3 linked regions of the Arabidopsis thaliana genome follow. The protein of the gene in region 2 interacts with the protein of the main gene of each other region in a pairwise test. Each region holds a gene or a part of one and is shown on either strand. Other genes may lie near its edges.

Region 1 (8,854 bases), on a different chromosome or scaffold from region 2:
AGATAAGCATTCGTTTGTACATCACATGCGTGCCATTAGAAAAAGAATTAGAAGAATCTTTGTGGGATTTTCCCATTTATATAAAGTATGTTTTCACCGGATAACATTCTCTTTTTTTCCACAGCCTCTCTCTTCTAAAGTCCAAACATTGTATTGGCGTAAAGCTAACTCAACTTGATTCCTCTCATTATGTGACGGTTTTGGAAAATGAGGAATGTTTTGTTCTTAGAACGCCATAGTTAAAGAAGTTCCACTCTAGTTAATTACCAAATTTATATGTGGCAGGAAATACAAAAACAAGAATATCATCTTCCGATTTTGATCACTTGTGTCACGTAAACATAGATTTTACTAATGGAATGAATGAGAAATTTAAACATCAATTTAACTAATGGAATGAATGTGACACAAACAAAAAGAAGGTTGGAATTTGGAACCAAAACGCGTTCAAAGGAAATTATATTATTGTCTAAACTTGAAATTGTATTCCAATTTTTTGCTATTATATACAACTTGCAAAAAATTGCAAGTCCCGAATAAAAAATCATCACACAATAGTAAGTTGTAGAGTTTTAAAGATTTCCTCGTTTTAATGAGAAGTTGAAGCGGTGAAGAACTTTTCTTTCTTTTCTTTTCTGATAAGTGCAATTTACTAAAAAATTTAAAACATATGTTGTGTCCCGAAGCGACACTGTGTCTACCAAACCTTCATTCATAAAAGTCAAAACATTACACATCAAGCAAAACGTATTTTCTTCATCAAAACCTCTGCTTACGATCTGTTTCTTGTTAATAAAGATATCAATCACTATGGCCTCTGAATCTTCAACTCACAAGACGAAGCTTGAGAAGAAGACTTGTCTTAGTTTCCTTTCTAGTTTCACCCGAAGCCAAATCGTGTACCCAACGCAAGGTATCTCACACTACTACCCTTCCTGCCACATGATGGTCCATGCTATGAACATTACACTTTGCGATAATTTTGATTTCAAACGGGCCAATCCCAACTATCACCCCTACATCCTCCGCCTCTACTGTGGTGTTCTCTTTTGGATCCAGTGTCTTAGAGCTGGAAACGATGTGAATGATCTTACTGATGTTCAACACCGGTTCCTAAACCGGTTCTTGGACAACCATCCCTTGGAAACTCTCGCTGTTCCCGGCCCTCTCCTCGGACTCTTCAAGACTCTTTGCTCTTCGCAGCCGGAGTTTCCTCATAATCATAATGGGAAAGTGTATCCTCGCATCCCTGCCCAACCAGGCCCGGCTCGACGTGACGCGTTCATGCGAGATCTTCTTGAAAGCCACTTCTTGCCTAACGTCCCTGGCATCTTCGCCCTCTTGGAAGACTTAACCGCCTTTTTACCCAATACCTCCCGTCTATCCAAAGAGAGGCAGGCACATTCCCGTTACCCAAAATACCGTCTCTAACTTCGGTCACAAGACCTTTGGTCTCCATGCAAGCAGGACAGAGGCTGAAAAATGGTCACTCGTTTTACCTGGCTTACAGTACCCTTGTGAAGCCGATCAAAGCCTGAATGAGGCGTTTGCTGATTGCTACAGCAATTTTAACTTTCAGGTCACTTCTGCCGCTGATAACCTCGAAAAGATCTCTTCCTTTCTCCACATGAAACACAGCATGGCTTGGTTCAATCAAGTAAAAGGAGTTGCGGATGATGTTGCTGCATCCTTTGAAGGATCCGGCACCCTTGCTGACTGCTCTCCACATGGGTTGGTTGCTAACCAAGTCATGGTCGTTCTCTCTACCCCGGAACATCTTCCAGAATCACCAAATTGTATTGCTGATAAGCGTGCAACCTATGAGTTCGGTTACCAGCTCAAAAGCACAGTTCGCAACCTCCCTCCCCTTGCGGAAGCACTTGCCGCCTTCTCTCAGACATATATCAGGATGTTTCCTAACCATCCCTTCTTCGGGACGTTTGGGTCGAAAACTCTTGATCATGGCCCGTTCTGGAAAATAAGGCCTATTGGCTCCAGCCTTACCGATAACAGCTCCTACCTCACTATCCCATCGATTGTCAAGCAAGCATTCAAAGGCCCAGCCACGTAGGTGTTGTTGCCTAACAGATATCAAGCAACGACTTTCATTTTATTTTATTTTGTATTTGGATAGCAACAATTATTCCTGTCGGATTTGTTATCGTTTTGGTGCATTTTTCATGGTTATTTATGTTTCGAAGAAAAGTAAACCAGATCTTATTTAGATTTCTGCAGTTTTCTGAAGGAAGTTTTTTCTGTGGCTTTATATATGTATCGAGTGATTTGGATCCCTCTGTACAAATATTCAACCGTTTTAGAATTGCCCACGGAACACTACAAGGACAAGAAAGAACATAACGACCAAAAACGAATAAGTCCCTAGGGTGAGAGCTTAAAGACCGTGAGGAAGGTTTGTGGTTGCTTCTGTCATTAGAGTCTCCTCTGCTCCATGGCTAAACCATAAATAAAGAAGAAGAAATTAAATAAAATCAATCACATAATGGACTTGTAACAAAAACAAAAATTGGTGGGTTTGTTTTACCTGAGATAACTGTAAGCAGACATACGGTAGAGACAAGTGAAGACAAGGACGTGCAATCCTATTGTGTAGAAGAAAGCAAATGTCCTTGCGTATCTGAAAGATCCAATCATGAAATTGAAAATAACCGAAAATTCTGTGATCGAGTATGAATGTGAATAAACTTGAGAGCAAGAGGATTACTTGTTTCCTAGAAGGAACCGCCCACTGCTTAGCGTAATCCGATCTCTGATTCCCAAATCTTTGATCCGTTGCTCTCTTTCCTATCAAACACATATAAATAGGAAAGGGTTAATGTTTAGGAAAGAAATATAAGGCTTGTGTCGATGATAGCAGAATGTTTTATTTTTTACCTTTTTCGAGAATGCTGCAAAAGGGTTGATGTCATCTTCGTAAATTTTCTTGTATTTTGATTCGACATCCGAGCTGAATCCACTTTCAAGATCTTCCACATACTGAGATTGGAAAACGATATCAACCATGGAAAAAACCCGATCACGAGACAGAAAAGGTTCAAGGGAAATGTATCGCAGAAAACAAATACCTTTTTCGATCCTCGGGAAACAACTTTATCATGGTTATAGTCTTGGACATAACGGATTTTCCCATAGAGTTTGACGTTGTCTGCTTTGGTCTTCTCCAATTCGTCTGTGAGAAAACCTATCTTCTCTTTTAATCGCCTTATTTCCTGCAATGTTAAGAGAACACATAAAATTCAGTTCAAATAAATTTAACTGGAGATAGAGAATACAGAGGGAAGAGGATCATTTATATGTACAACTAACTGTACCTCTTCTGTTTCCCGTAATCGTGCTCGGAACCGATCTCTTTGGCTGCAGATAACTTTTAGCATTGAGCTTTGATCTTGCTCTGATGGAACATGTTTCTGATCCATAGGCTAATAAAAGGAAACACAAAATGATAAAGAGCAGTAGTTAGTGATAAGTCTAATTGTGAGGTATATAATATACCATATCATGGAAATACCCTTAGTTGTATGAAAACTTTTTAATGGTTTGACAAGAAGTTCAGAGGTATTTTGCTTTTGAAAAAAAAATAGATCATGGTAAAATATATACGTACCACGATTCCCTAGCAATATTTTAATTCACGCCATAAATAGAAGGCAGAGTGAGCATACATGTTAGACCGTTAAGATTATCTAGTAGAGAACTTAAAGCGATAGGTTACTGTTTATCTAACTCTTAGTTCTGAACGATTCCATCCTTTCTTTTACTTTTGGGAAAATTTTCCTGCTTTAAGAGTATTGCATGATAAATTACACGACTCATTGACTCATATATGCACAGGGCCAGAGAGAAGTACCTCAGACTGCTCAGCCACACCTGCTTCTGAGAACTCCCATTCATCAAATAGAGCACCTTTTCGCTCTTTTGAACCGTAACCCTGTGTAACAAGTAAATAAGGTTTCAGTATAATCAAAGACTTTGATCGAGTTTCTCCTCCTTAGTAGCAGTAGCACAGATACCTTTTAACTTAAAATGGTAACTACACACTCTTACGTACCTTCAAAATATCATCCTCCAACTTTTGTATCAGTCTTTGTTGTTCATTAACCTTAGCTGTCAGTTCTTCTCCCTTGGCTTCAGCCTTCTCAAGCAAGGAAGCTTTCTCAGAAAGTTGAACCTGGGAAAAGAAGTGGTGTGAATCGACCAGTGACTTTACTTGTGTATGTTCACTGAAAAGGGAAAGAGTAACGAAAAGACAGAATTACAGATGGTGGTGGTTCATTCCGTAGAGGTCATGTACCTTTAACTGAGTGACCTCATGTTCCATTTTTCTGTTTTTATCAAGAAGAAGCGACTCCATTTTGCTCATCTCTTCACCAGTGGTAGCAGCATCCCAGTCTTCAGCCTCAATTGAATTGTAACCTACAGCCTAATATGCAACAATGATATTACTACATACGATCGTACCGTTACCAGAAAGAACAAGGTATGGATCTGTGGCAAGAAGTTAATAAGAAGTTAAACTAAGTGAGCACCAAAAAACACTTGAAATGATGAATACCTGCAGAATTTTCACTTTTTTGCGCAAATCATCAACTAATTTTGCTGATGGTCTTTCTTGAAGCTCTTTCTTCATCTCTTCAATGATAGTATCCTGGTTTAATACCAAATGACGGTAAGCTAATATTAGACATTGAAGGGACCGGAAACTAATTTTCAGAACAAAATATAATTTCTCAGCATAAAAGACAAAACATAGCACAAATTTCACCTTTTTATTGAGCAAAGAATTCAATTTCTTTATCTCGGCAACATGACTTTCTCGCTCATTAGCTAAAGCTGTCTCAACATTGTGAATCTCCATATTAAGCTCCGAAATAATCTTCTCTTTTGCAGTTAACGAGTTCTCCAGCATACTATTCGAATCAATATTATCACTGTAGAGAAAGAGCATAACAAAAAAATTAAAACAAAGCAAAAACTTAGATAAAAGTTATTTGACTCCTTGTTATATGGACGCATAAGTGTCACCTCACCTTTTCTTGTTATCAGTATCTTCATTAGCTGTTTGCAGCTGAGAACGCAGATGTCCCTGTTACAAACCAATAAACAAAATTAGAGAGCTAAAAACGGTGGTTTATCTTAGGGCATTCCCTTAATTCAAACAAAGAGAGCATGATATGAAAGACCTTTTCCCTCTCAAGAGTAAGGAGTCGGGTCTGAGCACGCTCCACTTCATCCATCAATAGACTAACTTCAGATTGCTTCCCCGCGGTCTCTTCGTCTGATGGTTTAGACAAAGGTGACATATATTAACAAGACAAGAAGGAACAATATGTAAGGGAGACCATTCCAATTATGAAAGCACAATATGAGTCACCATATTAAGGCTCAATGCACCACCTGATTGAGCACGGAGTTCAAAAAGTTGGTTCTGTGCTAACTCATGCAATTTTTGCATAGTGGAGACGCTGTCTTTTGCTTGCCTTAACTGATCTTGCAAAGCTTGCTCCCTGTTAAACAGTGAACAAGGAAAGGTTGGTGCTTCCTCGAAAACTTTCTAAACACCCAAAGCATGCAGAAGAGAATTTTTTTTTTACCTATCCTTTAAAAGCTCCATCGTTTTCTGGTTTTCCTCAGCCAGATTTCGTTGCTTGATCTCAACAACTTCTTTGATTTTTTCTTCCATCTGAATCCAAATATAACAACTCGATATCACTGCTAATCTTCGACAGTTATTCGTTACAAGATCACAAAATAGCATCTCTATATAAATCATGCTTATGGCTCAGTGTATAAATTTGCATTTGACCTCCTAGAATAGACTGAAAAATAATCAAGGAAGCTGTGCTTTACATTCATTTAGTTTTATCCCTATATCAATTAGAAGAAGAGGTTAAAAGCAAGCTGACCTGTTGCTCAAGCTGGCGGTTCCGTTCTTCAAGCCTTCTTATTGTGGCCTGCTGATTTTTAAGATGAGTCGCTTCTGTCCTAAACTCCTCAAGTTCAACTTTCATCTTTCGATTTTCAGATTCCACTTCAGATAATTTACGATCTTGCTCCTGGAATACAGCAATTAGTTGGTTCTCAGGCTAAAGGACTTTAGGTGTCTATTATGTTAACATTAGATAAGTGGATAATTACAGCAATAGAAGCAAGAGCAGGAAACGGATCAGGTGCTTCATAGAGTTTCTGATAGATATTTAGGAAAGCATTCTCCCCAAACTTGGCCCTCTTGGTAATATTATCTACTTCTTCTTGATATCCCTTGAGGAGGGAATTAAACATACTAAGTTTGTTCTCAGGCGAAGCTTTCTTGAAGTCTGTTGTTACCAAGATAAACCAAAGAATATGTTAACATCTCTTCGCTGGAACCTATCGAGGTCCCTCAGGAGAAAATGTTGAAGTGTTAAGCAATATAAAAGGTGAAACAAAAAAGTACCTCGTGTGCTCTCTGCAAGCTTTCGGCGATTCTTTTGGCTGTTTTCTTGATTTTCAGCTATTCTAAGCCCTTGCTCGTCAAGCAGGCTTTTCTCCTTCTCCAAATCAAATTCTGCAACAAGTAGTTTAAAGACAAGTAAATGGATCATTCGGGAAGAGCTTTCTTCTATGATGATGTCTATCAAAACAGCGAGCAACCACAGAACCAGTTCTCTAATTGAAACTGGTTTCGTATAACAAATACAAAAGCCGGAGAATCGAGATGAAACTAGTTATCAGTACTGAAAAATGTGTTGATAACTTTTAAAGCAATAAACTGAAATTTCTCAATCCGATCACATTAAACTACCAATGCAATCTCCCCGAACATTCAGTGAGAATCTCATTAAGTCTTACTACTTAAACGGAATCCTAACAAACGAATTTCTCCTAACTACAAAAACAAGCTCATCCTCAGCTTCACTACGAGTCGAAGAAAACGAATAGATAGCTAGACATAATCTGAAACAAACCTTTCCAGAAATTGGTGACGACAGGAATGGGAGAGGAAGAAGAAGAAGAAGAGGAAGGAGGAGGAGTTTTATCTCTTTCCGATCCATCTTGCGAAACCTCCATTGTACTCGTATTCGGATCCCGATCTCGTTTCTCCGAAGAACACAAGCAATACTTCGATACGAAGAAAGTTTCTGGGAAGTGATTTCTTCTTCGAATCCGACGAATGAATTAATGAGTTTTCTTATTGTTGTTTTGTTGAATTTTTACTACTCCGATCGGATCTTCTGAGTTCAGATACATTAGAGTTTAATGGTGGTAGAAGCGTAATTCTTATTTATTTTTTTGTTATGAGTGTGATCCTAAACAGGCTTCAAAAACGTAAGGTCCAAAAGATATAGAATAACCAATGGGCTATTCCTTGCGCCATTCATAGGCCCAGTATTGATTTAGTAGAATAAATTCATGTTTATTGCACATCTAAGTTGAAAACATTTGTCAAATTTTGTTATGACTATTATTAATTAATAAAATTTTAAGTTTAAATTCTAATTTATTTCACTGGTTAGAAAATTTTAAAAGTTTATTTTTTTTCCTTCAGTTCTTTTCTTTGTAATTTGTTAGTATTAAGTAATATTACTTTACTAATAAAACCAGAATATTACATTAGATATATTTTTCAAAATTTTATTTTAAAGTTTGCAAGTTTGATTCCTTATATAGAGGAATAATGTTTGAACATATTATCTCTTATCTACAAATAATTTTAATAGAAATTTTATGAATAGAAAAATGTTGAATTTAATATTTTAAAATTTAGCATAGCCTGTTTTATTTTACTTTCGCATTTTTAGGATGTATATTTCTTTTTTATTCATAATTTCTTTAATTTTCTTAGTCATTAAATTAAATTCTTTGTATCTTGTATATATGTGTGGATTAAACCAATCCCAAAAACGCGTTTACATATTACTTTTAAGTAGCTTAAAATCTCTCACAATCAGTAAAATCTCTCACCTTCCTTAAACAAAAATCAATTTTCAAAAAACCTTCCTCCTTTTAACAAAAAGTGCAACGTACTAGTTTTAAAAGTCTTTTACTCTTTTTTACAACTTTTATGATTTTTCCCAAAGTGCAATGTACTAAAAATTAAACATTTGTAGATCTCTCGAAGCGATCCACCATCAACCATATATATACCCACCCACCCTCCATTCTTAAAGCATCTAACAACAAAAATCTATCTTCAAAACCCTAATTAATTGATTTACGATCTCGCTTATCAAAAGATCGATCAACACAAAACTGGTTAAAACCTGACGCAAGATTTGGTTGAAGCTACTTTACAATGGAAAAGCAATGGACTTCTGGTCTTTTCAGCTGCATGGAAGACAGTGAAACTGGTAGAAATTCTATATAAATTTAATCAAGTTGTCCTTTAATCTTTATACATATATAGATCTATTGTCAGGATTGTATAATGATTTGTTCCTTTTGGTTTGTGCTGGATAAGCTTGCCTCACATGTTTCTGCCCATGCGTCACTTTCGGACGGATCGCGGACATTTCCGACGAAGGAAGGACCGGTAAGCCATACATTCACATATGTCATATCTAAACAATGTGTGTGTGTGTGAATTCACGTAACGTCGTATATATAATGTACGTAGGTTGTGGGAGATGTGGGGTATTTTACGGGCTAATATGTTGTGTGGTCGGCTTACCTTGCTTGTTCTCATGCACTTACCGGACCAAGATCCGAAGCAAATTCGGGTTACCGGAGTCTCCAACTTCGGATTGCGTCACTCACTTCTTTTGTGAATGTTGTGCTCTTTGCCAAGAACACCGTGAACTCAAAACCCGTGGTCTTGACCCCTCTATTGGTAAATTGCATTGTTTTGTGGACTCACTTT
Region 2 (6,238 bases):
TCCCTCTTTATGGAAATTCAAAAGATAGACAGCAACTACTACCCTGAGGTAGGTTGGATTTTTCGGATTCATTAACAGCTTCATATCAACAAGGAATGGATGTAATTCTGGTTGGTTTGGCTCTAGACTTTGCATCGCCTCTTCGTTGTCAATGCCAGTTCTGGATTCCGGATGTTGTGGCTTGCACTCAAGACCTTTCTTGATGCTCGGACATTGGCCAAAGTTCAAGTAATAAGCATATGCCACTCGGTGCTCGCTTTTCGTTTAGTCACAGATTTCTTTACCTAAAATGATGTTTGTTGTTGTAGGTGCTAGGACCCAATTACCTTGGAGAGCTACTTGAAGCAATAGAACCAAGGTCTAAAACCTTTTTCTGATTTGTTTTCTCTACTAAATTCAGTGAAAAGATTTGTTTCATAAATGAGGAACCTCAGGAATATTTGTGTTTGATTTCTGAAAACAGCAACTTACCAACATTTCTTGGAGGAAATTGCACCTGTTCAGATCATGGAGGCTGTCTTTTCAGTGATGAAGGACCTTGGAATGATCCAGGCATCAAGGAAAAGATCGAGGTTTGTGCCATTACCATTTATTGAACTTTTATCAAGCTATACACAGTAAAATTGGATATTATCTTCGATATAGGAGCCTTCCACAATCGAAGATGCTCATTCAGAGACTATGGATAAAGTCTCAGAAAATGCTCCAGCCAATCAAAAGGTACATAAAGATAGTGTAAATGAAATCGATTTATTGAATTCAATATTGAAGCTGATTCAGATATATATAAATGGAATGCAGGAAAGTTTAGGCGAGGTCATGATTACAATGGAGAAGTATGCTGCCCTGAAAACTGCTGTCAAGGATTCCCAGAAGGTGAAATCTAGGATAATATGAAATTTAGTTTCATGAATCTTTTGACTGATTTGTGTGTGTTTTGGTTCCTGCAGAGGATAGAAATGTTGGAAATATCACTCCATGAGACTAAAAAGGTAAAGAGAGACAAGAGAAGCTAAATGGTTACACAGCATATGAGTTTTACTTGTCTATGCTTAAGATCCAATGGTCTTCCTCCTATTTTCAGGTCTTGAATGGACTCGCGGAGATCATTGAGGCCATTCAACCGAATCAACCTATAACCAAATGCAAACCGGTTTAGAAAGCAATATAGTTAAGAATATGTCCGGTTTGATTATCTGAAGAAAAGAAATGTATTATGATGACGATAATGATGATGATAGATGATAGATGATAGATAAGTTTGTGGAATCCGTACTACGGCGTTAAATGCAATCATGTGTGGAGCCAATCTGTCTCACATGCAATTGCACGTGTGATCTCTGCACCACAACTTTCTTCTAATTCCACAGCTCGATTTGATCCTCTTCCCGATGACAAATGCTCCATAGAAATAACAATATTCATTACATATTACAACTATTTTATTTACAAGTAAACCATTTTCTTGTAAAAGGATCTATAGACTTGGCAGTGATGTATAACAGGTGACACTAACAGAAGACTAATCATCATCATCATTCATTATCATGAGTTGCAAACTTTATAGAGTAGTGTGAGTCTCATAAAAGCTTCTGCAATAGAAAATTTACAGATTGCTACTACACCTAAACACTTCCACACCACAACACAAGCCCATCTCAAATTTCAACGTTCATGGCAACGTGGACAACATAAACAATCAAACAGATGATCAATAGTCTTCCTTTTTAAGCTCTCTACAATTTCAGTTTTCTATCAAGAAGAACAACATCCACCTTTCTTGAACTCGCCCTGCCCGTCTGATGGTATCACAACTTTCTTGCCATTGCTCAGTGAAGCAGGGTCTTGCTTGTTTAGCTCCTGTGAGCTCATCACTTTCCTGCTCAGTATGTTGTATATCTCCTTCACAACCGTCTCAAATGCAGCTGCCACGTTTGATGAGTCCAAAGCCGATGTCTCCATGAAGAAAAGACCTTGTGCTTCAGCCAATGCCTTCCCTTCCGCTGTTGACACTTCTCTCAAGTCCTTCAGATCCGACTTGTTGCCCACCAGGATCGTCACAACATTCATATCAGAGTGTGCTGCAACAGTTTTATGAAGACACCCCTCACTTTCATTATTCTTGAATCAATTAGCAAATGGGAGATTGTTTAGTAGCAGATAAGAAAAGATAAGAGGTTTCTTACTGTGTAGCTCGTTGAGCCATCTACCAATGCTGTGAAAAGTCTGCCGTCTGCTGATATCGTAAACCAGAAGAGCTCCAACTGCACCTCGGTAATATGCAGAAGTGACTGCTCTAAAACGTTCTTGACCTGCTGTGTCCCATATCTGTGCTTTGATCTCCTTCCCGTTTATATCCATCTTCTGTGTCTGAAACTCCACTCCAATCGTCGACTTTGAATTGGGATAGAACTCATCCCTCGCAAATCTGGCAAGTAAATTTGATTTCCCGACAGCAGAATCACCGATTAGAACAATCTTAAAGAGGTAGTCTTCGCTCTTGTCGTCTTCAGAGTAGAAAGCCATGTCCTTTAATGCTCAAGATTAACCCTTCTACAGAAGCATATCTTTACCACTGGCTTGAAGCCCGTCAACAAAGCTAAGGACAAAACAAAGAGCCAAAGTGAGGAAGAGGGAAGACAAGAATAAGTAGAGTTGGCATAGGAAACTTGAGAAACAGTAAAGATTGAGATCTAAGAGAAACAAGAGAATCTTTAAGATCACCTGTCTACTTGAGGTAGCTTCCTAGAAGGTTCAGTGGAACAAAGTTGACTAAATATCAAAACTTTCAGCTCTCAACCACCCTAAGAAAATCTATCACAAGCAAAGTATTCAGCACATAAACGCATTCTGGATCCAAAGTAAGACAGCAATACAAGTTACCTCTTCTGAAAGCTTGATCTGGCTCTTTAACACCTCCTAGAGAAACTTGTTATACAAGCTCATGAAGCCTATATACAACAAGTAAAGCTAACTTTAGTTATAATCTCACCCTAAGAATCTAAGTTAAAGTCGGTAGATACTGACTATTCACAAATCATGAAAGCCACCAATAGGAAAGCAGAGAAATATTCTCTCTATCATAAGGAGAAACAGAATTGAGACAGAAAAGACAAGCGCGGGCCCAATTCAACCAACAATACTCATTCACTTGATCACACAAAGTGCAATCTTAAACACTGATAGAAAATTCTCAGTCTTGTCCTTAGGGCTCACATTAAAGATGAATCGAGTTAATGATTGCTGCAGGTTTATAATATCTGCCTGAATATGAAAATCTTCATATACGGCATTAGAAAATGAAAGTAGGCCACACATTTCTTTCTGAAAAAGATGATGAGACATCAAAACTTATAAAACACCAATTCAAAAAAATAATCGAAACTTCACCTAAGAAACTAAACCCAAGTAAGAACCCATTTTCGCAAAAGAGAAGGAGGAGATATTGTAAGAACTCTTTAAAGCAAAAACAGAGCATTGTAATAGAAACAATCAAACCAAGTAAAAACAGAATTTTACATGAGAGATCATCACATTACATTCCCGTCAGATGTAAGATCACACACATACATACACACACAAGACAGAGAAAACGTTGATGATCACGAATTATGAAGACCCATTAGACAAAACAGGACAAAAAACTCGCATTTACAGGGATAATCATAAGGGGAAAATTGAGAAAAACCTTCTCTTTATTCTCGGGAAGTGCAGAGGAAAACAAAATTACCTTGTGGAAGCAACACCGATTAAAGAAATTGGGGAACATGGGAATGGAATGGATCCAAAGAGAAGAAAACGAAACAAGAGATCCCAAAAATGGAATCGGAAAACGAAAGGATTCAACGCCTTCTTCTGGGAAATCAAAGACACGCAGTAACTCTGGCAGAGAGAGAGAGAAAGAAAGAGACCGGAGTTTTTCCATTTCGGTTCGGATTGGTAATAATGGGCTCAGCAAAAATAAAACATCTTGGGCCCTTATGGACCCTCTTACCCTATTTTACCATAGGCTCTACTTTTTTTTACCACCTTTGTTTTAGTTTCACTTAAAATTTTAGTTAAGGAAAAAAAAGTTACCGATTATGTACACTCTACTGTTATTTATTAGACACAACAAAACTTTCAAATATGATGGATTTTCCATCCTATTTTATTTATAAAAGAAAATATTTATATTTCTAACATCAACAAACTCTACCCAAATCAGATTATCCTTCTGAAACTATGCAATTTGTATTGTTTTTCAGGAAACTAGTGATTTTTTGAATAATTGTAATACTTTTCATTCATCAAAAAAACATATTATATCTTTCCTTTTTTTCCATCAAAAACATATTATATCTAAATATCTCATTTTGGGTTGTTTTTTGATAATTAACACTTAAGCCCATATAAAAGAGTCTAGTTCAAACTGAGCCCAGCTACACCAAAGAATCTAGTGGGGGACATGTGGCAGGTAGTAATTTGAGCGTTGACCAAGAAAGGACATTATTATACATCCACCTGGTTAGAGCATGCTTATAGGTGATATTCTCAAAGTATCATTAAAAAAATTTTAGTATTATTTATAATGTTTGTTTAATAGATAAATATTTTTTTTCTTACTTTTAATAAATGCTACCAATCAGGAGATGTCACGTAGATGATACTGATATCAAGAAAATCACTGGAATGATACTAATCAAACTCATTCTAATTGTTTGGTTAATAAAAAAATAATTTTTACACTGATGATATTCTAAAAATATCACTCATGTACATGGTCTTAACCGTTGAAATGTTGGTCGCGGCCTATATATAGAAGAACATAACTCTAAAAATAGCTAAACCCAACCACTTCCCTTGGATTGGAATCTCTCATAAACAGTTTGTTGGTCTGGTCCGCTCCAGTCCATACTCATAAGGTGGTAGATGTTTACTTAGGGTACATCATACATGCACAACGTTAGTAGTTGCAGGCATAGACGTGTTTGCCCTTTATTACGCGAAAACCACTACTCCCTTCGCTAGTCTACTTTCGTCAATTGAACCACTAAACCCAATGAAACCTAATATTTTAGTGTGCTCAATAATTTATCATCATCCCAATTCCCAAGCGTACCAAGATTATAATCTAACTTAACGCGCAATGTCATGACAAAACCTATATACAATGAAAAAGATTTTTCATGACAAACAAAGAAAAAATAAACACGAGAAATGAGTTCTCGTAATAAAGTTGGTGTGAACTGGTTTTTGAACGTGAAGATGACCCCTTCATATTTTTATTTCTTGGTTTTTGCTTGAGAGGGTTAAAGACTCTTAAGGAAGAAATACATTACACGTCAAACCTTTTTGGGAAAACAATGAACGCTTCATTTATAATGTTTCTATTTTTTACTCTTAGGTAAAACATTGCAATTGATAGATGAACAAGAACAAAAGCAGAGGATTAAAAGAAAGATTAAACTATGAAAAAAGGACACGTGTGAAGAGAATTAGAGATTCTGTATTAAGACAGATTAACTAACAAACCAAACCCTACTTGTTCCACTTTCTATTCATACTTAATCTCATTCTCCTCTCTTCCCCTTCATACTTAAATCTTATCATTCATCCATCTTTTAATCATTACTCGAGATTCTGTTTCCATGGCCATATCCTCAAATCTTCTCCTTTGTCTCTCTCTTTTCATTTTCATCATCACCAAATCCGCCTTGGCTCAGAAATGTTCCAACTACAAATTCTCCACCAACCGTCTCTTTGAGTCTTGCAACGACCTACCTGTTCTTGATTCCTTCCTCCACTACACTTACGATTCTTCTTCAGGCAATCTCCAAATCGCGTATCGCCACACAAAGCTCACCCCCGGGAAATGGGTGGCATGGGCCGTGAATCCCACATCTACTGGCATGGTCGGAGCTCAAGCCATTGTGGCTTATCCACAATCAGACGGCACCGTTAGGGCTTATACGTCACCCATCAGTAGCTACCAAACGAGTCTCCTAGAAGCTGAGCTGAGTTTCAACGTCTCTCAGTTGTCTGCCACTTACCAAAACAACGAGATGGTCATCTACGCAATTCTGAATCTTCCACTTGCGAATGGTGGAATCATTAACACTGTGTGGCAAGATGGGTCACTGTCAGGGAACAATCCTCTGCCTCATCCAACTTCTGGCAACAATGTTCGTTCTGTTTCTACTCTTAACCTTGTCTCTGGTGCATCTGGATCCACCTCTACCGGAGCAGGAGGAGCTTC
Region 3 (6,942 bases), on a different chromosome or scaffold from region 2:
TCTTTCAGTGTTTATATCTGTCTCCGGAACATCACCCAGTCTTTCCGCGGCTACAGTTTGACCCTTCTGGCGTAAGTAAAAAATAATTCAGTCAATAGATATGTTTATCCTCTTATAACGATTTTTTCAAGAAAAATTTGTTCATGAACTTTCAGGTGGCTTGGAAAGATAACACTGGAGACATATATCTCCCAGTTTCATATATGGCTCAGGTATGTCACACTTTTCTTGCCCAAGTTCTCAATTGTAGAGTAAGTGGGAAATTGATGGTGGAGCATGCTAATACAATAAGCTATTAAGATTTTTCCTGACCCATTGAACTATGAAATAATCTAATTCACCCACAGATCTGGAGTTCCTGATGGTCAACCCAAATTACTACTATCTCTTGTCCCGGATTACCCATTGTTGAACTTCATGCTCACTACTTCGATTTACGTCGCTGTAAGCAAACCCTGCTACAACAGATAGAAACAAGTTGAAAGCCAGACAGATACAAACAAACTGATTGGCTTTTTGTTGCTCTGTTTTCAGATCTCTTATAGGCTCTTTGAGCTTACCAACACTTTGAAAACAGCCTTCATACCAACCAAGGACGACAAACGCCTTGTCTACAACACGATCTCAGCACTCATAATCTGCACTTGTCTCTACTTTTTCTCATTTATTCTTATCACAATTCCCCAAAAACTGGTAAGTCAAAATTTTATCTTTTTGTGTGGGAGAAAGCTTTTTTTTCCCTGGTACTTGAGTTCATTGATATGTTAGTGCATACACAAAGCGAGGACGAATGTCATCCTCTCATATTCGATTGAACCATCTCACGTTTTATTATTTCACTGGAAACAAACAGGTGTGAAGCACTTCTGAACCGGACCAGAGTGGACTATTCGAATGAATTCATAGGAGTTGAACTACGCGATATGGTAGATATACGAAGATAGAAATCAGAGGTAGATGCATACAATGTTGCTGTAATGTCATCTTTCTGTATATTTATTTATGAATAAGGTGTTCTTTCTTGTTTATTTGTGTTTCTGTTCACGATGATGTTAAGACTTATTATTGTCTATTACAAGTTAAAGGAAATCCATATGAGTAATTGTATAGCTATAAAATCCAGATTAATCTTACATCAAAGTAAAATATGATGGACTTGCAAAAGCCATTACTTTAATGTAAGGAAACATTGATATACTTAGATAGAAAGTGTAGTCATAGCATGTGTGTCAAGCTTGTCCTCTATTGCTCGGTAGGCAGAGAAAGTGTCCGAGTCTTCCCATTTGGAGAAATTATACGCGGGCCCAAAGGAAAGCAAAAAATGAGGTACTGATATTAAAAACAATAACAGTACCTTATAGTCACCCCGGTATAGATTGTTAGACATGCTAAAGAGACAAGATAACCAACCGAGGAAGAGCGTGTACAAAGCATGTCCGATCTCCATCCTAAACTTATCCGATAGCTGAATCAGCCCTAACCCTCCGGTGAACAACGAGATGGTGAATAACGACATGGACAATTCAAACTCTTTGTTTGTCAATAGCTCATATATTAAGGGCAATGCCAACGCTAAATTTGCGGAAAATGTCGAAAACAAAACCTGAGGTACTCTCTCCAACTTTGTAGTAAACTCCTTGTAGCAAGCGGAAGGAGGAGCGGTGAAAAAAAGATATCTGAGTAGCGTCACTGCGTAGAATGTTGTGACACTGACCGCACCGTCCCTAAAGGACTGAGACGATGAATCTCCAGGTGGCCAGAGAAGATTGAGTGATTTGGAGAGGCCAAAAAGTGAGAGTAGAGTCATTATATACCATATTCCTCTGCAAACAAACACATCCATATCACTAATCTTCTTCTCCATCGTGTGTGTGTTTTTACTAGGACTATGGGGTTTCGGAGATTTAATAGTCGTCGTGAATTCGTTTTTCGATTTCTTTTATTTAGTTAGTTAAATCTGCTTTTATCCAGAAGAATGTGGTATATCTCTATTATTAGTTAAAAGTGGTTAGAAGATTTTCATAATCACAACAAACAAAAGAAATCTTCGCAATCTTTATCTAACACTTTTTTTTTTCAAGATATATAAAATTCTTTTATATTCAACAAAGAAAATAGTTCAAAAAATCACATTATAAGTGGACCACTGACCAGTAAAGTGAACGAAGAAAGTATAAACTCTATTTTCTTCAATTAAACCGTTTATATAAAAAAAAAAATCATATTTTAAGTTTCTAACATAAGAAAAACAGTAGACCCTATAGTCTATGCGTTGATTAAGAAGATGGGCCATGTTGGGCCGATTCACACTTACCTCTTTTATTCATTTACATCTTAGGCCCATTACGTTTGTATATGTAATGTAAGAAGAAACTTCTTCTTCTCTTGAACCTCTTCCTCGATTCTCCTCACTCATCTCAACATCTTCCCAGATTATTCAACGCTCGTGTATCGATCAAGCTACTGAAGTCACGTTGGTTCGACTTTTGATACACAAATCTGTTCGAGCCACCATGATCGACATCCCTCCTTACCCGCCGCTTGATCCTTCCAACTACGATCTCATTGTCGTCGGCACCGGAGTCTCTGAGTCCGTCTTAGCCGCCGCTGCTTCCTCCTCCGGTAGTTCTGTTCTCCACCTCGACCCTAACCCCTTCTACGGCTCTCACTTCGCCTCTCTTTCCCTTCCCGATCTCACTTCTTTCCTTCACTCAAACTCCGTTTCTCCTCCTCCGTCGCCGTCATCTCCTCCTCTCCCTCCGTCAAACAACCATGATTTTATCTCCGTGGATCTCGTTAACCGATCCTTGTATTCCTCCGTGGAGATTTCGAGCTTCGAATCGGAGATCCTCGAAGAACACTCTAGAAGATTCAACGTTGACTTGGCTGGTCCTAGGGTTGTCTTCTGTGCCGATGAATCAATTAATCTCATGCTGAAATCAGGAGCTAACAACTACGTTGAGTTCAAGAGCATCGATGCCAGCTTCGTTGGGGATTCGAGCGGTGAGCTACGAAATGTGCCGGATTCGAGAGCTGCTATATTCAAGGACAAGAGCTTGACTCTGTTGGAGAAGAATCAGCTCATGAAATTCTTCAAGCTTGTTCAAAGTCACTTGGCTTCTTCTACCGAAAAAGATGATTCAACAACAGTCAAGATATCGGAGGAAGATATGGAGAGTCCATTTGTGGACTTCTTGTCAAAGATGCGTTTACCACCCAAAATCAAATCGTATAACCTCCTTCTCTGTTAATGGCAGCTCTTTGGACATTTGTCTCTGCTTAATGCTTCTTAGAATTTTGTCTCTGAAATGTTGATAGGTAAGGCTTTGTTTCCTCTTCTTCTGTGTAGGATCATCTTGTATGCCATTGCGATGCTAGATTATGATCAAGACAATACGGAAACTTGTAGACATTTACTCAAGACCAAAGAGGGGATAGATCGATTGGCTCTATACATCACATCTATGGGCAGGTCATTCATCATTTTCTCATTCCTGGCTCTTACACATTTGTGATCATCTTTCTTATTGGTTTACATTATCATTGGTTATATTGAGTATAATTTAGCTTTTGATTCTCTACCTTAGGTTTTCTAACGCACTTGGGGCGTTGATATACCCAATTTATGGACAAGGAGAACTTCCACAAGCCTTTTGTCGTCGGGCTGCTGTCAAAGGATGTATCTATGTACGTTTGGAACAATTTTCTGCATTGTGTACTGTGTTGCTGTTGTGGTATTTGTTACTTATTTAGTCTTTCATTGTTTTCACAGGTTCTCCGGATGCCTATTACTGCTCTGCTTTTAGACAAGGCAAGTTAGCTGACAGTTGTAGCATAAGATAAGTTTAGTTGACGGAAAGGATTCTTACTTGATTATTTTAAACTCTTTTTGCAGGAAACTGGGGGTTACAAAGGGGTTAGATTAGCTTCTGGTCAAGAGATATTCAGCCAAAAGTTGATTCTGGATCCATGTGTTACTGTTGGATTAGAGTCTCTGTCGTCATTGACAGATCAGCAAAATGAAACTCTCAGTGTTCTTGTCCCAAAGTCGATGATCAATAAGGAGAAAATTGCAAGAGGAGTATGCGTCATTAGAGGTTCTGTGAAAGCTAATGTATCAAACGCTCTTGTCGTTTATCCACCTAAATGTAAGCTAATTTTTGAAGACCCACTAGTTAGTTGTTTCACTTACATGTATATCGTCTTTTGCGTTTTGAAGGTTCTAACATTAATAGTTTTTTCCTCTTAGCTTTGTTTCCAGAACAGCTAACTGCAATTCGGGTTCTGCAGCTTGGTAGTGGTTTAGCGGTTTGTCCTGCTGACATGTAAGTTGTGGTTTAGCCTAAGATGATCTTTTCCCATTTTAGTTCTGTTTCTTTCCATTTGCTTAGCTTTAACTGTTCTCTAAGCCATATATATTTGCTGCTGCAGGCATGTTTTATATCTTTCAACTTTGTGCGACAATGATGACCAAGGGATAAAGGCGCTATTATCAGCCATGAGTAATCTCATCAGTTTGCCTGTTCCCGAGAATCGTCAAAGCGATTCCGTTGTTGAGAATGATACTTCTGAGACAAAACCTATTCTACTCTGGAGAGCACTGTACGTGCAAGAGCTAGTCAAGGTGGAAAATGTGATTGGGAATTTACCTTTTCATTTCGACGTTGGTAATGTCATTTTCACTAAATAAAAGTTTGATTTGGATCAGGGTGAATTTGGAGGTACGATCAGTTCCATGCCTAGTCCAGATGGAAACTTGAACTACAATGAGATAGTGGAATCAGCCGTGAAGGTTAGTAGAAGCTCCTTACAGCAGTTATCTCATTAAGTTATGGTTTTGATAATGTTATCATATTGGATTTGGTAGCTATATGAAAAGCTCATGGGGAGTGAAGAATTATTTAAAGAAGAGACCTCACCGGCGGAGAACACAACGGAGGAGGAAAACGATGGTGGTGTTGAAATAGAAGATTGATTGATGAATGAAACCATTGGTTTTAAAGACTTAGAATACCCATTTATTTATTTGATTGTAACATATAGTTACCCCGTTATTAGAGGGGAAGCAGGAAGATTGGCAGAGGGAGGGTGAGCCATTTTCTTTACTTATTCACTAGAGAGCAACTATGATTAGGGAAGAAATAAAGGATTGAGAAGAAGTGATTAATCCACGACCGCTTGTCTAACCATTGAAACTCCACAAACTTTAAATCAACGACTAAAAAGAAATAATGAATTTGTATAGAAATTAATTTATTCAGACATCTTTTACCGATCACAACCATAATCGTTCTATGTTTCTCTTTGAATAAACACTTCCGATTTCGTATATTTCGACTCCAATTCTGATTTTCATGGCCAAGTCCAGAAACTTAAAAAATCAAGGAAGATATCATTATCGACTAGGAAATTTGACTTTGAAGTCAAGATTAAGAATTTGAATGCTTTTTTCGAGATCGTTGGGTTAATGTTATCATATGTAATGTGGTGCCAAGCTCTCATTATGAGGCCCAATTATGAGGGTTTGGTTATTCTCTGGAGAGAATCGTCAATCGTTTATCCAATCCCAAAGGTTGACACTTGACAGAATTTAAAGCCCATTGGGTCTGAATTAGCGTCGGAATTGGACCCGAAATAATTCTATCAATTAAAGATTAAAACAGAACTACACGCGTGTAGGAATTTAAAATACAAAACCACTCGCATCACAGGCGCGTTTCGGCGCGTGAGACTATAATCCGTGGACTATAACCCTCCTTTTCGGGGATTTTTGCATAAATTTAAAATTGAAAAGACTTGCAGCGCGTGGGACGAGATTTCATTTGTTGTATAACTTATTGTTCACGACTAGTTTTTTTTTTTTTTTTTTTGCCTAAAGGTCTTTCTATTGACTTTTTATCATAAAATGGAACATTACAAAATAGGTCAAGCCCAACTAGATGATTACAAAATTTTAAAACTGAAACTAAAAAGGCCCAACCCCAATAAAGGGATACCAAACCCAACTTGAAGAGAGGCATGAAAGCTAAAAGGATTAGACCAAAAGCCCAAACCACTATAGTTTATTTACATGAGAATATAACAAGACGAAAAGAACTATTACCGTGTGTTATCTTCTGCTCAGATTATGGTCCGAAATTATTGTTATCGATTCTTGATTCAGATTAAAAATGAGGTAAAACTGTAAAGAATTTCTGAATTGTGATTTTGAGGTTTGCACTTTAATAGAAAACGAAGCTAGTACTCATCTCCTTTTTTTTTTGCTGAAATATGAAAGTTTTTGAGCTATAGGCTACAAAATAACCAAGTTTTTTCTTTCTAACGCATATGACATTACTACTTCACAAATGGAAAAACAATGTTGAAATTTCTGCAAACATGAATGACCACATAAACTGATCTCTGCTCAATTCATTAGAAGGGATCTCAAAAACCGTAAAATTTCAGAAAGTTGTATTTCATATCTAGTTATTTACTACGACAGACAAAAAAAGAATCAAAATTGGGAACTAACGGTTGCATAGCACTCAAACGAGTTTCAGAGGTATTCCGCCAGACTTTCACCGCTCATCTCTTCCATTTGTTTGATAATATCTTGAGCCAAAGATTTAACAGATAGCTCGACGTCTTCTAGTAGCTCAGCCAAGAATGGAATGGTTTCAGCAAGCAACACAAGATACTCTTCTTTCAGATTATCCAGCATCTGTTTCACACTTCTCAAACTCAACATCCTTGACCGTACACTCTCACTCCTCGTTTGCATTAGCACCTGACCAATATGATTTTATGTCAGTTAAAAAAATTGAAGTCTATCAAAGATAGCTGAGACTCGCTTTCTTGAGATTATGTTGTTACCTCGTGGTTCAGCGGTTTCCAGAGGAGGTCAGAGCCTGAGGCTACTGCCATTTGACCGATGCATGAAACCAATAAATCATCAACCTC

Evidence for each region.
Region 1: the proteins of RABA5a (region 2) and CASP interact in a protein complementation assay, tested with the Arabidopsis thaliana proteins (one large-scale study listed by BioGRID).
Region 3: the proteins of RABA5a (region 2) and REP interact in a two-hybrid assay, tested with the Arabidopsis thaliana proteins (one large-scale study listed by BioGRID).

What each region holds. Positions count from the first base shown.
Region 1 is NC_003074.8:6,335,135-6,343,988, reverse strand, and holds CASP (CCAAT-displacement protein alternatively spliced product), read right to left. Parts: upstream 7,298-8,854; 5' UTR 7,066-7,297; coding exon 6,963-7,065; intron 6,563-6,962; coding exon 6,452-6,562; intron 6,333-6,451; coding exon 6,154-6,332; intron 6,072-6,153; coding exon 5,922-6,071; intron 5,699-5,921; coding exon 5,610-5,698; intron 5,523-5,609; coding exon 5,413-5,522; intron 5,294-5,412; coding exon 5,199-5,293; intron 5,102-5,198; coding exon 5,046-5,101; intron 4,947-5,045; coding exon 4,781-4,946; intron 4,664-4,780; coding exon 4,571-4,663; intron 4,439-4,570; coding exon 4,310-4,438; intron 4,187-4,309; coding exon 4,067-4,186; intron 3,947-4,066; coding exon 3,866-3,946; intron 3,438-3,865; coding exon 3,330-3,437; intron 3,228-3,329; coding exon 3,084-3,227; intron 2,995-3,083; coding exon 2,893-2,994; intron 2,803-2,892; coding exon 2,723-2,802; intron 2,636-2,722; coding exon 2,543-2,635; intron 2,454-2,542; coding exon 2,393-2,453; 3' UTR 2,201-2,392; and 1 more. Other genes in the region: ILR2 (iaa-leucine resistant 2), read left to right, coding at 811-1,423, 1,524-2,071; AT3G18470 (PLAC8 family protein), read left to right, coding at 8,291-8,345, 8,456-8,527, 8,612-8,824. UniProt on the Arabidopsis thaliana protein: May be involved in intra-Golgi transport.
Region 2 is NC_003076.8:19,275,841-19,282,078, forward strand, and holds RABA5a (RAB GTPase homolog A5A), read right to left. Parts: upstream 3,908-6,238; 5' UTR 3,731-3,907; intron 2,952-3,730; 5' UTR 2,884-2,951; intron 2,815-2,883; 5' UTR 2,725-2,814; intron 2,600-2,724; 5' UTR 2,527-2,599; coding exon 2,187-2,526; intron 2,082-2,186; coding exon 1,756-2,081; 3' UTR 1,390-1,755; downstream 1-1,389. Other genes in the region: AT5G47510 (Sec14p-like phosphatidylinositol transfer family protein), read left to right, coding at 1-48, 127-228, 309-358, 464-572, 646-720, 802-876, 951-992, 1,085-1,159; AT5G47530 (Auxin-responsive family protein), read left to right, coding at 5,631-6,238. UniProt on the Arabidopsis thaliana protein: Intracellular vesicle trafficking and protein transport.
Region 3 is NC_003074.8:2,033,234-2,040,175, reverse strand, and holds REP (Rab escort protein), read left to right. Parts: upstream 1-2,384; 5' UTR 2,385-2,513; coding exon 2,514-3,229; intron 3,230-3,349; coding exon 3,350-3,472; intron 3,473-3,587; coding exon 3,588-3,687; intron 3,688-3,772; coding exon 3,773-3,811; intron 3,812-3,895; coding exon 3,896-4,148; intron 4,149-4,249; coding exon 4,250-4,325; intron 4,326-4,431; coding exon 4,432-4,624; intron 4,625-4,708; coding exon 4,709-4,792; intron 4,793-4,867; coding exon 4,868-4,975; 3' UTR 4,976-5,263; downstream 5,264-6,942. Other genes in the region: RWA2 (O-acetyltransferase family protein), read left to right, coding at 9-71, 156-212, 348-444, 535-768; AT3G06545 (uncharacterized protein), read right to left, coding at 1,199-1,275, 1,366-1,864; AT3G06530 (ARM repeat superfamily protein), read right to left, coding at 6,539-6,769, 6,856-6,942. UniProt on the Arabidopsis thaliana protein: Substrate-binding subunit of the Rab geranylgeranyltransferase (GGTase) complex. Binds unprenylated Rab proteins and presents the substrate peptide to the catalytic component composed of the alpha subunit RGTA and the beta subunit RGTB.